2 linked regions of the Arabidopsis thaliana genome follow. The protein of the gene in region 2 binds, or shares a complex with, the protein of the main gene of each other region. Links are inferred from orthologs where the notes say so. Each region holds a gene or a part of one and is shown on either strand. Other genes may lie near its edges.

Region 1 (6,588 bases), on a different chromosome or scaffold from region 2:
AAAAGTCTCTGGTGGAGGTGAAACAATCACTTTTGCGGATGTTGCAGGTGTTGATGAAGCAAAGGAAGAGCTAGAAGAAATCGTGGTAGGTTTTTCAGTCCTTAAAGACGCTGCACATGCTTATTGATGATCAGATTGTTTTTCATAGCTTTATTCTCGGTTTGGTAATTGTCTTTTACACATCGGTTAATCAATGCAGGAATTTCTTAGGAATCCTGAAAAGTATGTCCGTCTAGGTGCACGTCCTCCGCGTGGTGTCCTATTGGTGAGTTTTATCATTTGATTTCACTTTATTCTTATATTACGTATATATCATGGTTTAACGTTTGGTTACAAGAGCTCTCCTTTAGAATGATATGCCTTTGACTCCTTTCTTTTCCAGGTTGGTCTTCCCGGAACAGGGAAAACCCTTCTTGCAAAGGCTGTTGCTGGGGAAGCTGAAGTCCCCTTCATAAGTTGCTCTGCAAGTGAGTTTGTAGAGCTGTATGTCGGTATGGGTGCCTCACGTGTAAGGGATCTTTTTGCACGGGCCAAGAAGGAAGCTCCATCGATTATATTTATTGATGAGGTTAGAATAGGTAGTCGATGTCAGATTACCTCCGGTATATTAAACCTCTGGGCATCTTAAACAAGATTTTCTATTTGCCTCTCATGCTCCAGATAGATGCTGTGGCAAAAAGCCGTGATGGTAAATTCCGAATGGGGAGCAACGATGAAAGGGAGCAAACTTTAAATCAGTTGCTCACTGTAAGTCTGCTGTCAAGCACCTTTCCTGTGTAAGTAGCATTCTTGATCTTTCCATGACCCATTCACATGTTGGAAACTTTTCTGCAGGAGATGGATGGTTTTGACAGCAATTCTGCGGTTATCGTTCTTGGAGCTACAAATCGTGCCGATGTCTTAGATCCGGCCCTGCGTCGTCCTGGGAGATTTGATCGTGTTGTTACGGTTGGTAGAATGGATCAGCTCTGCCTATTTGTAAATGTTTAATATGGTTTTTTCAAAGGCACTGATGCATTTTTCAGGTGGAAACGCCAGACAAAATTGGAAGAGAATCCATTTTGAGAGTACATGTGTCAAAGAAAGAGCTTCCTTTGGGAGATGATGTCAACCTCGGTAGTATTGCCTCAATGACCACTGGTTTCACGGGGTACGCTTTTGTATATTATCAATGATTTGAAGTTTATTCAGTTATACGTTTTTGGGTGTATATCTCATAAACTCTTTTGTCCTATTTGCAGGGCAGATCTTGCAAACTTGGTAAATGAGGCTGCCTTGCTAGCTGGAAGAAAGAACAAGACGAACGTTGAGAAAATTGACTTCATTCAAGCTGTGGAGCGATCAATAGCGGTATCTCTATAACCTCGCTGTTTTATTGATTACGTAAGGCAATTGTCAAAATGTGTTTTCTTACAAAGACCTGTTTCAGGGCATAGAGAAGAAATCTGCAAGATTAAAAGGCAATGAGAAGGCAGTGGTCGCAAGGCATGAAGCTGGGCATGCAGTGGTTGGTACCGCTGTTGCAAATCTTCTTACTGGACAGCCACGTGTTGAGGTAAAATGCAAAAACTTTGTCTACATTTACGCTCATTGTTTATGTTGTTTAGTACGTGCAAATGATTCAAGTTTTGCTCATCTTTGTGGTGTTGTCAGAAATTAAGCATATTGCCAAGAACAGGAGGGGCATTGGGATTTACATACATTCCTCCTACTAGTGAAGACAGATATTTACTCTTCATTGATGAGCTGCTTGGGCGTTTAGTTACCCTTCTTGGAGGTCGTGCAGCTGAAGAAGTTGTTTACTCAGGGCGTATATCAACAGGTGCATTTGATGATATAAGGCGGGCAACTGATATGGCATACAAGGCAGTAGCTGAATACGGTCTTAACCAAAAAATCGGACCTGTGTCTGTGGCTACACTTTCTGGTGGTGGGATTGACGATTCTGGAGGCTCGCCATGGGGAAGAGATCAGGTAACTTCATGTTGCAATGCACTTGCCTAGGTTGTCTTATAATTTCCAATTGTCCATGCAAAAGTTAACCTTCCATGTTAATACACAGGGGAAACTAGTTGATCTTGTTCAAAAAGAAGTGACAATTTTGTTACAATCTGCTCTCGATGTTGCGCTGTCTGTTGTACGCGCTAATCCAGATGTATTGGAAGGGCTTGGTGCTCAACTTGAAGGTGTAGTATAAGTTTATTTGTTTTCATCAGAACAGTTTTTGAAAACATGTAGGACACTAAAGGATATAACTGCTTGCGAGAAAGATTATATCCCTTGTCTTGAGTTTGGTTCATGTGACAACTGGCTGATTTTGCTGATGAAATATCATGTTTTGGTGCAGAGAAAGAGAAAGTAGAAGGTGAAGAACTGCAGAAGTGGTTAAGCATGGTGGTTGCACCAGAAGAACTCGCAGTCTTTGTCGAAGGAAAGCAAGAGCTTTTGCTCCCAGCACAAGCTAGCTCCAGTTAACAACTACTCTGTTCTATCATCAATTATAGCTATAAAGACAGTATCTAACACGGATCATCAGCTCTTTCCTTGCTGCCTTCTGTATCTCCAGGTCAGATCTGGTTATCACCATTGCCCTTTAGCATCCATGGTTCCAGCATGCATAGAACACTTGAATCAAACTTGAAGAACCATATTGGGATATGACTTTTGGTGATAACTCATAGATTTTGGTGGATGTGTTTTAAGATTTGGTATTCTTGCTAGATACAGTCTCTTTAACTTGGCAAAAAAGTGTATAATTGATTCATATGTATAAAAAGCCAGACTGATATGTGTAAAGATCTTAAAGACCCCCACAAAAGGTTGCAACAGCATCACTCATTGTACTCCAGAAAAAGTTGCATTAGCATTACTCATATTAGTCTATTATTCTCAGATTTCTCGAAGTAGTGGAGTTAATCTTGAAAATGTTCAGAAAAATAAATAACTAGATCATGTGATGTCAAATAAGATTAAGAAAGAGTAGCTTATATATAAGTGAAATCCGAAGAATTATAGAGAATGAAAACAGAGGCATGAATAATGCAAATTACTATACATTTTTTTCTTCTATTTCTTGAAGAGGCTTCCTAAGCCACCAAATCCACCCTCGCTCTTCTTCGGCACAGGCGTCGGAGCTGAGTTTTTACCACCGCGAACGGTTCCTCGGCCTCCGGTGGTGGTGCCTTCTTTCTCATCCACCTTCTTTAGAAGTGGATTAGTCTCATAGAACTGATCTTGTTTTGTCATAAACCCAAGAACAAAGTCGATGGGATTCTTCTCCTCCTTTGGGCCGCCTGAACCTCCCTTTGTGCTTGTGGCGTAAACCCTCACGGTGGCCGGAGCAAATGACATAAGAAGCGAAGAAACCATTGTTGTTATCTCTCTCTCTTCTCTGGTTTTTCTTTATCGGTAGTGTGTGTATGTGTGTCTTCGTGTGGCATTTGTTACGAAGGGATTATAACGAGGTTGGTTGAATCTGAGCCGTTGGATTTTTTTGGCACAAGCTCTCCACAAGTGTCTTATCCTCTTTCTTTTTTCCCTTCACACATTTTTCTTTGAATCACTTGGATACATTTTTTTTGGTTTAATTGTTTTTAGATATATCTTGGCACAATTTATGTATATTCTTCTCAAGTTCTTAAACGGAAATTTGCACAGAGAGTCAAAGTCTTCAATTTCAGATTTATAATTTATTTGTCAAATGAAATGTATGAATGCGGAAGAGACACGACTTGATTTTTTTTAAGTGTGTGATCTTGTCCCTGACCATGTTGGTTGTTAGCTGCTGCAACTTGAGACTCTGATCAAAACTAAAAACCTTTTTTCTGTTATTGGGCCGACGAGGCCCATTTCTTTAAAAGGAACTGTGACAAGATGGGATATAAAGCTCTAGAGTAGACTCCTACGAGTAGCGCCACAACACTGATGAACGAAGCTCGAAGAAAGTTACAAGATAAATTCCATTAAACGATTCAAATATGCGCACTTATTATTTCACCAAAAGCAATGCTCAGTGTTTATTATTCGTGTAATAGTGTTGGATCTACACATGTTCTTATTCGATGGAATCTGCGACCGTATATACTACTGAGTGAAAAATTAGGCAAAAGCAAAAAGAAAAAAGAACCAAAGAGAAGCAATGTTTCATCAGCCGCAATGGTTCACTCAAAAACACTACTTACACTTTTCCTCTTGCTTCTATCGTGTACCTAAGTTCCGTGTCGCTGTCTCTTCACTCCAAACAAACCAACATCCATTCACTGCCATTCGCTCCTTCTCAAACCATTTCCTGAGTAGAATCTTCTAAAGGGAAACACGTCTCTTCACCACCGGTATTCCAGAGGAAATTGGCGTAGTTGGCGGCGTAGAAGGAGTTGGTAGGGTCTGCAGATATAGCTTCTAGAAAGTTCTCCTCAGCAGCCCAGAGATCATTCCGAACTTTCCACAGGAAGATGGCGTATTTGCTGTACGTTTCTGCGTCTACATCTTCTGACTCTATTGCTTTCTTGAAGCAGTTCTCCGCTCTAATACATAACCAAAAGCAAACATCATTTGTCAAGTTCCAGAGTTACATAGAATCATAACCAATCTTTTGATACTCAATGTGTCAAGTGCAAGCATATACTTCTCAAAGTACAGGTAATAAAGTCTTGAATGTTAGATGCAAGAATAGGTTAAAAGGATATCTCACCTCTCATGGTCTTGAGTAACGAGGTAAAGGAACTGAGCGTAGTTAGCTAGGAGCAGATGATTGTCAGGCTCTTGAGCCAAACCTATCTTATATAAAAGCTCAGTTCTAGTGTAATTGGCATAATCATCCAATTCAATCCTTGCAGTGATCGGTGAAACAAGTCTCAATCTCATGTCACGATCAACAGAGGAATCTTGCATTTGATCTGCTTCTTCCACCATCGAATTCCACAGACTCACCTCCTCTTCTCTCATCCCTTCTCCTGAAACCGAGTCTCGATGTCTCGGCAAGTGGGAAACCTTGTCAAAATTGATCGATCCTAACCATTTGGACCCATCAAGCTTCGTAGACTCCTTTAACGAAGAAAAATCAATCCTTTGTTGCGTCTGATCCGGACCTTTATTAACAACTGGAGGAGATGCTGCAATAGGTAGGTTTGATGCAACTGAATGCACAGTGTAGTTCGCCAAAAGGATCATCACATAAACCATCAAAGTAGGTGTCTGAGAGAACACACGTTGGAAAATCCACAACAATGAAGCGTGCATTTCCTTCTTAACCTGCTTAAGAACACCCACTCTAGTCTGCAACGCAAAGCTATGAAGCTCCTCAATCATGAAAACCATAGAAGAAAAAGCTCTATTGATAGAACAGTAAGTAGTAGCACTAGCTTTCTTAAGAGCTTCTTCTTGTAACTTCCTCTTTATTATCCTAAGTGATAGAGGTAAATCAACACTGTTTGCTTTACGCTCAATACTTGAATGGTTAACCATCTCTGCCCATGGAGCTTCCAAAGAAGCTAAACCTGGAACAGACTCTTGTAATAGCTTCAAAGAACCAAATCTATGATTATTGCTATCGTTATCGTTATCTACTGCTTCTGATTTCTGTTTGTTCTCTTCTTCTTCTTCATCGCCTGCGTTTCTGAATTGTGAAGCTAATTCCTGCATTTTCACAGAGAATGCTTCGTCGGAGGAGAAGAAACCGGAGCTCGCACTACAAACTCTTCTCAAAGGATTATGTTTCTTCTTCACATCAGTTCTAATCTTCTTCGTGGTGGAATTAGAAAATTGCCAAAGCTCACATGATTTAGATCGGTGAAGTTTCCCAGATTGTGTTCCGAGAAACGTCGAAGGTTTTAATCTCAAAGATCCTCCTCCGACGGAAACATCACCGGCTATTCCACGAGAACGACGGCGTTTAGATGAAGTTAGGGTTTGCGAAAATGACGGACATTGAGGAATCGCTGTGTGTCGTCCTGACCAATGAAACGACGTCGTTGTTGCTACTTTCACTTCCATTATTCCGATGAAACGCAAACAAATCTCAGAATCTGTATAAATCGAGAAAAGCTATAAAGATTAAGACAAAATTGATTACGAGAAATTGAAAGATAAGAGAGAATGAGAATGAGAAAGAGAGAGAGCTTACTTCTTCTTGGTGATTCGAAATTCGTTCGTTGAGAGAGAGATTTTCTCGGGAGAATTTTTTGTATGGTTGTCAGGTCAAATCGAATTCAGAGGCTTACGAGAGCTCCTGAACTTTGTTAGAAACAGAGAAGAAGAAGAAGAAGAAGACAAAAGCCCTTGTATGTTTATATACCAAGAGAGAAAAATTAGTAAATTATTTAATTAATTTACCGGATATAGGCGGTGAAAAGGCGCGTGCTATTTTAGAGAAGAGATTGGTTTTATTTATTTATTCCACGGGTAGAGACGGTTACAGGTGATGAATGATAAGGATTCGGCTAAACTAAGCGACGCGGTTTATTCGGGAAAATTTTGCTTTCATCGCGGCTTCATCGATCTTGATCTGACGGATGAGAATGAATCACGTGTTGGTTGATATAGCTTCGGTTTGATCTATTGCCACGTAGGGGGTTGAAGAATATGGAGATG
Region 2 (5,695 bases):
AGAACAATCAACATCAAGTTACTTTACCCTTTTTTCCTTTTCATAATCGATTAGTTAACCTAAGAAAAAAAAAAAAAACAAAAGAACTAGCCTTTCAATATATTTTTATTGACCAATTAGAATTGCCTCCCAGAATCTACAATTGTCTCAAAAAATCCAATATACATACATTATTGGACCTTTTGAATAACAGTCAAGAAGACCTTATCAAAATTGAACATTTTCACGTAGAAGATGTAAAAAAGATATTAGACATTCTAGAAAAAAAATAGAAAAAACATTTCAAAAAAAATTGACTAAGACTAAAAAGTCAATTTGAAATTGAAATGGATTTTCAAATTTCAACGTAATTTCTATTTTCCAGTCGAACCCATTTTAATTAATTAATTAAATTAATTAGAATTAGATATGTATCTAGGGAGAATTCATTTGGAAATGACTACTCCCTAGATACCTCCCTAGATACCCACGTCGTTTATTTTACAATTGAATAAATTGAATTAAAAAAGACCTAAAGTTAGAGATTTATCAATCGGTAATGTTGCTCCAATACCTAACCACAGGGCCGCCGCGGTGCCAATCAAAAAGACGGTTGTCGCTACTGGACGACGAAATGGATTTTGAAACTTATTAACATTTTCCAAAAAGGGTACGGTTAATAATCCCGCTGGTACTGAAACCATTAAAAGAACACCCAATAATTTGTTAGGCACTGTACGAAGTATTTGAAATACAGGAAAGAAATACCATTCAGGTAATATTTCCAAAGGAGTTGCAAAAGGATCCGCAGGTTCACCAATCATTGATGGTTCTAAAACCGCTAAGCCTACGTTACAGGCAATGGTACCAAGAATAACTACTGGAAAAATATATAAAAGGTCGTTGGGCCATGCGGGTTCCCCGTAATAATTGTGACCCATACCTTTAGCTAATTTAGCTCGTAATACAGGATCATTCAAATCTGGTTTTTTTGTTATTGGGATAGGTGAATTCTTATGGATCCATCCCCCGAGGGAACCGGACATGATAATTTTTTATCATCCGGCTCGAGCAAGAATTAACCAAACTAAATGAATACATACAAAAAATATAATTTAATATGTAAAAATTAATTATCCGATTCCAAAGTTATTGCAACTAAAGATTCAAGAAATTCCATTCTTACAGGTAAATGCTCAACACCCACGTAAGCTTAAAAAGTTTATCATGATTAAGTGCTTTCTGGGTCGTCTCATACCTTATAAATTCGTCCTTAATCTCAACAATTATATCGAGATTTTTCAAATACAAAGGATTTACTTGTTACTAATGGAGTCTACCCTCTACTCTTCATTAGATCCTGTATTCACTCCGATAGTATCATAAATCGAGTCGATGCAGAGAAAATGAATGCATTTACATACTATTACTATTAATAATTATTTTCTTTTTTTTTTTTAGTCCAAAATAACTAAAAACATAATCAGGATTTTGTTCCATCCCTTAATCTACTGGATTTTACGGAGCCCACTCATCCACGACAGCGTCGGGTACGATCATAGAAAAGATTCTCTTCAAGTGAACCAGCCTATCCCCTGTATGGGGCTTACACAGTGGTTGGAACAAAGACACATTTGGTTGTGAATTCCAATGTAGCAGATAAAGTAATATTTCTGCACGGCCCGATCAATAGTTCAAGTCACACACTCCCATAATCCATTATCTCTTCATAGAATTCCCTTCAACTTTTTATGTCAAAAAAATAATAAAATATTGTGGAGTTGAAGGGAAATATCCAAATACATGTTTTATTTTTTTAATAATCCATATTTATAGCAATAAAATACTATCGTTCCTTCACCAAGTAATAAGTAAGTACAAATACCTAGAATCTATATTATTTATAAGGGACCAGAAATACCTTGCTTACGTATCATTAGGAAATGCATTAACATAAAGACGGCCGTAAGAAGAGGTAATACAAAAGTGTGTAAACTATAAAAACGAGTCAAAGTGGATTGTCCAACACTAGCACTTCCGCGTAATAATTCTACAAGAGGTGATCCTATTACCGGAATAGCGTCAGGTACACCTGTTACAATTTTGACCGCCCAATAACCAATTTGATCCCAAGGTAAAGAATAACCTGTTACACCAAAAGATGCGGTCAATACACCCAGAACCACACCAGTAACCCAAGTTAATTCGCGAGGTTTTTTAAAACCACCGGTGAGGTATACACGAAATACGTGCAGGATCATCATTAGGACCATCATACTTGCCGACCATCGATGAACTGATCGGATTAACCAACCAAAGTTAGCTTCAGTCATTATATATTGAACAGAAGCAAAAGCTTCAGTAACGGTTGGACGGTAATAAAAAGTCATAGCAAATCCCGTAGCTACTTGTACTAAAAAACAAGTAAGGGTAATTCCGCCTAGACAATAAAATATGTTGACATGCGGAGGAACATATTTACTAGTTATATCATCTGCAATCGCCTGAATCTCAAGACGTTCTTCGAACCAATCATAAACTTTATTGAGATAGGTAAACCAAGGTTACTCCCCCTCCAAGAACTGTATATGAGAATTTCATCTCGTACAGCTCAAACAAAAAAAGACCCAAATACTGATTGAAACAGATATGGAATATAAAGTTTTAAACTTGTCTCTCATTCAATATTATTTTTTATTATTTAAAGATATGAAAGAGTCAAAATGCGAAAGCTCGTCTTTGTGGTTAAATGCCAAAAAATCAAGTAAGCTCATTCGTCTTTATGTTGTGTTGATCGTTACAGGCCTCTTGAATCTTCTAGATTACCTATCTTTATTGTCTTTTTTTATTTGGTATTTGTATGGAACGGGGACAGGGATTTCTTCTTGTTTTCTTTATTATTGATAGGAATTCTCTTGTTAAGACCCTACTTAACTAATCAATTGAAACCTCAGATTCATACGAGAACCACGATAATTTAATGAAACCTTCAAAGTCCAAAGTTCACTGAGTGAGAACCATTGGATCATCACTTATTCAATAAAAAAAAAGCTATAATGACTAAAAACATAAAATACAAAGAAGCGTTTGTCCTTTGATCCAAATAAGAGTTTAAAAGCAGAAAATTTTTTTGATTTATTAAAGTTTATAAGATAGAACGGAAAGAAGTCCGGCTACGAGGTTTGAGTATTTAAGTATGAATCATAGTTCGAATACTTTGTGATCTATTTGATCTATTTCGTGCTCCAGATACTCGAATGAATATCCGACGAAGTAAAACCATCTTGATAAAGATGACAGACCCCATTCTCTGTACTATCCATAGGGTCAATTCTAACAAGTCACACACTCATATTCCGGAAATATACAATGCAGAAAAAAATTTCGCGGTCGAACTACCAAAGGAGAATAGGCTAAAATTGTTAGACCTGCATACTTTACTTTTTTGTATCGAGCTAAAAGCTAGAACTTCAAGATTCTTCTCAGTCTAATTCACTGAAATTCCATCCAGTAGAACAGAAGAATTATAAATCTCCAAAATAATAGATAGGAATACCGCAAATAGAGCCATTGCAACACCCATCAAAGGGGTCGTTCCCCATCCGGGAGCTACTTTACCATATTCGGAATTCAATGGTTTCAATAACTTCCCTACAGTAGTGCTTCTTGGACCAGATCTAGAACTATCTTCAACAGTTTGTGTAGCCATAAATCTTATTTTGTATTCATTACGATCTGTTGACTTTGTATACCATTCCGTTGTAAATAAATGATCTTAGCATAGATCCGGTGTGGTCTTTCAATTCTATAATAATGGAAACAGCAACCCTAGTCGCCATCTTTATATCTGGGTTACTTGTAAGTTTTACTGGGTATGCTCTATATACTGCCTTTGGGCAACCCTCTCAACAACTAAGAGATCCATTCGAGGAACACGGGGACTAGTTAACGTAATCAGCCTCCAAATATTTGGAGGCTGATTACGTTAATGAAGATAATGAAAAATTATTTCATTTTTTAGTTGAAATTTTAGGTGGTTCCCGAAAAAAAATAGCGAAAAAAATTATCCCTAAAGTGGATACTAAGAGAAATGTATAAACCAATGCTTCCATAAATTTGATCGTGGTTTACAATTATAGCTTTCATACCTGTTTTGTTTACGTTTTGTTTACTTGGGAGGATAAAGAAAGAAAAAGAGTCAAAGAAACGGCAGCGATTTAAATAAAGATTCCTACAGTACCCTACCTATTAAATAAAATAACAAACAGAAACTAGAAGAAAAAAAGCAATGTTGCATCAGACTGCTTGTCGTTTTGTAGTTGGATCTCCAAGTTTTTGGAATGCCCCGAATTCCACTTGAGCATCCAAATCTGGATCAATACCAGCAAAAACATCTCTGAAGAGGGTTCTAGCACCATGCCAAATGTGTCCAAAGAAGAAAAGTAGAGCAAACGAAGCATGTCCAAACGTAAACCAACCTCTTGGGCTGCTACGAAAAACACCATCAGATTTCAAAGTCGCACGATCTAATTCAAAAATCTCACCCAATTGAGCCCGTCTAGCATATTTTTTCACAGTTGCGGGATCACTATAACTCACTCCATTGAGTTCACCACCATAAAACTCAACAGTTACACCTACTTGTTCGACACTATATTTTGATTCTGCCCTTCTAAACGGGACGTCAGCTCTAACAATTCCGTCTCCGTCTACCAAAACTACCGGAAAAGTTTCAAAAAAAGTAGGCATGCGGCGTACAAAAAGTTCACGCCCTTCTTTATTTCTAAAGACGGGGTGGCCTAACCATCCAACAGCTATTCCATCCCCATTGTCCATTGAACCCGCTCGGAATAACCCCCCTTTTGCTGGATTATTACCAATATAATCATAAAAAGCTAATTTTTCAGGAATTTTCGCCCAAGCTTCTGATAAACTTTGATTTTCAGCCAGTCCAGCACTAACTCTTCGATATATTTCTTGTTGAAAGTATCCCTGATCCCATTGATAACGAGTAGGACCAAATAATTCGATGGGAGTAGTTGCAGAACCATACCACATAGTTCCAGCAACAACAAAAGCTGCAAAAAAGACAGCAGCAATACTACTGGAAAGGACGGTTTCAATATTGCCCATACGTAATCCTTTGTATAGACGTTGAGGCGGACGAACACTAAGATGGAATAGGCCCGCTAATATACCCAACGTCCCTGCTGCAATATGATGAGAGGCTATTCCTCCCGGAACAAAAGGGTCAAAACCCTCCACGCCCCACGCCGGGTTTACGGGTTGTACCTTTCCGGTTAGTCCATAAGGGTCGGATACCCATATTCCAGGACCATATAATCCTGTTACATGAAATGCGCCAAAACCGAAGCAAGCCACTCCTGAAAGAAATAAATGAATTCCAAAAATCTTGGGCAAATCCAAAGAAGGTTTTCCTGTACGTTCATCACAAAAAATTTCTAGATCCCAATATACCCAATGCCAAATAGCTGCCAAGAAGCACAAACCAGAAAACACTATATGTGCTCCGGCTACCCCTTCGTAACTCCAAAGACCCGGATTCGTTATAGTCCCCCCTGTAATATTCCAACCGCCCCAAGAATTGGTTATTCCTAAACGAGTCATGAAAGGTATAACGAACATACCTTGTCTCCACATTGGATCAAGAACGGGGTCGGAGGGATCAAAAACTGCTAATTCATATAGAGCCATC

The links. Proteins that work in one complex are often made in the same cells at the same time.
Region 1: the proteins of petD (region 2) and AT3G47070 are in contact, whole or in part, in a cryo-EM structure (PDB 9ES9), measured with the Spinacia oleracea proteins. The link is inferred for Arabidopsis thaliana from one-to-one orthologs. Residues at the interface, in NP_054965.1 of Spinacia oleracea: Thr4, Lys6, Pro7, Leu9, Leu18, Ala19, His24, Tyr27, Lys119, Phe120, Gln121, Asn122, Arg125; in XP_056683494.1 of Spinacia oleracea: Asp46, Phe48, Glu50, Thr51, Ile54, Leu55, Arg56, Gly57.

Annotation. Positions count from the first base shown.
Region 1 is NC_003074.8:17,334,139-17,340,726, forward strand, and holds AT3G47070 (thylakoid soluble phosphoprotein), read right to left. Parts: upstream 3,596-6,588; 5' UTR 3,370-3,595; coding exon 3,067-3,369; 3' UTR 2,476-3,066; downstream 1-2,475. Other genes in the region: ftsh7 (FTSH protease 7), read left to right, coding at 1-85, 200-265, 383-568, 661-747, 835-948, 1,026-1,150, 1,242-1,350, 1,430-1,555 and 3 more; AT3G47080 (Tetratricopeptide repeat (TPR)-like superfamily protein), read right to left, coding at 4,277-4,523, 4,691-5,991.
Region 2 is NC_000932.1:72,478-78,172, reverse strand, and holds petD (cytochrome b6/f complex subunit IV), read right to left. Parts: upstream 1,693-5,695; coding exon 1,685-1,692; intron 976-1,684; coding exon 501-975; downstream 1-500. Other genes in the region: rpoA (RNA polymerase alpha subunit), read left to right, coding at 1-272; petB (cytochrome b6), read right to left, coding at 1,881-2,522, 3,327-3,332; psbH (photosystem II protein H), read right to left, coding at 3,467-3,688; psbN (photosystem II protein N), read left to right, coding at 3,793-3,924; psbT (photosystem II protein T), read right to left, coding at 3,990-4,091; psbB (photosystem II 47 kDa protein), read right to left, coding at 4,276-5,695. UniProt on the Arabidopsis thaliana protein: Component of the cytochrome b6-f complex, which mediates electron transfer between photosystem II (PSII) and photosystem I (PSI), cyclic electron flow around PSI, and state transitions.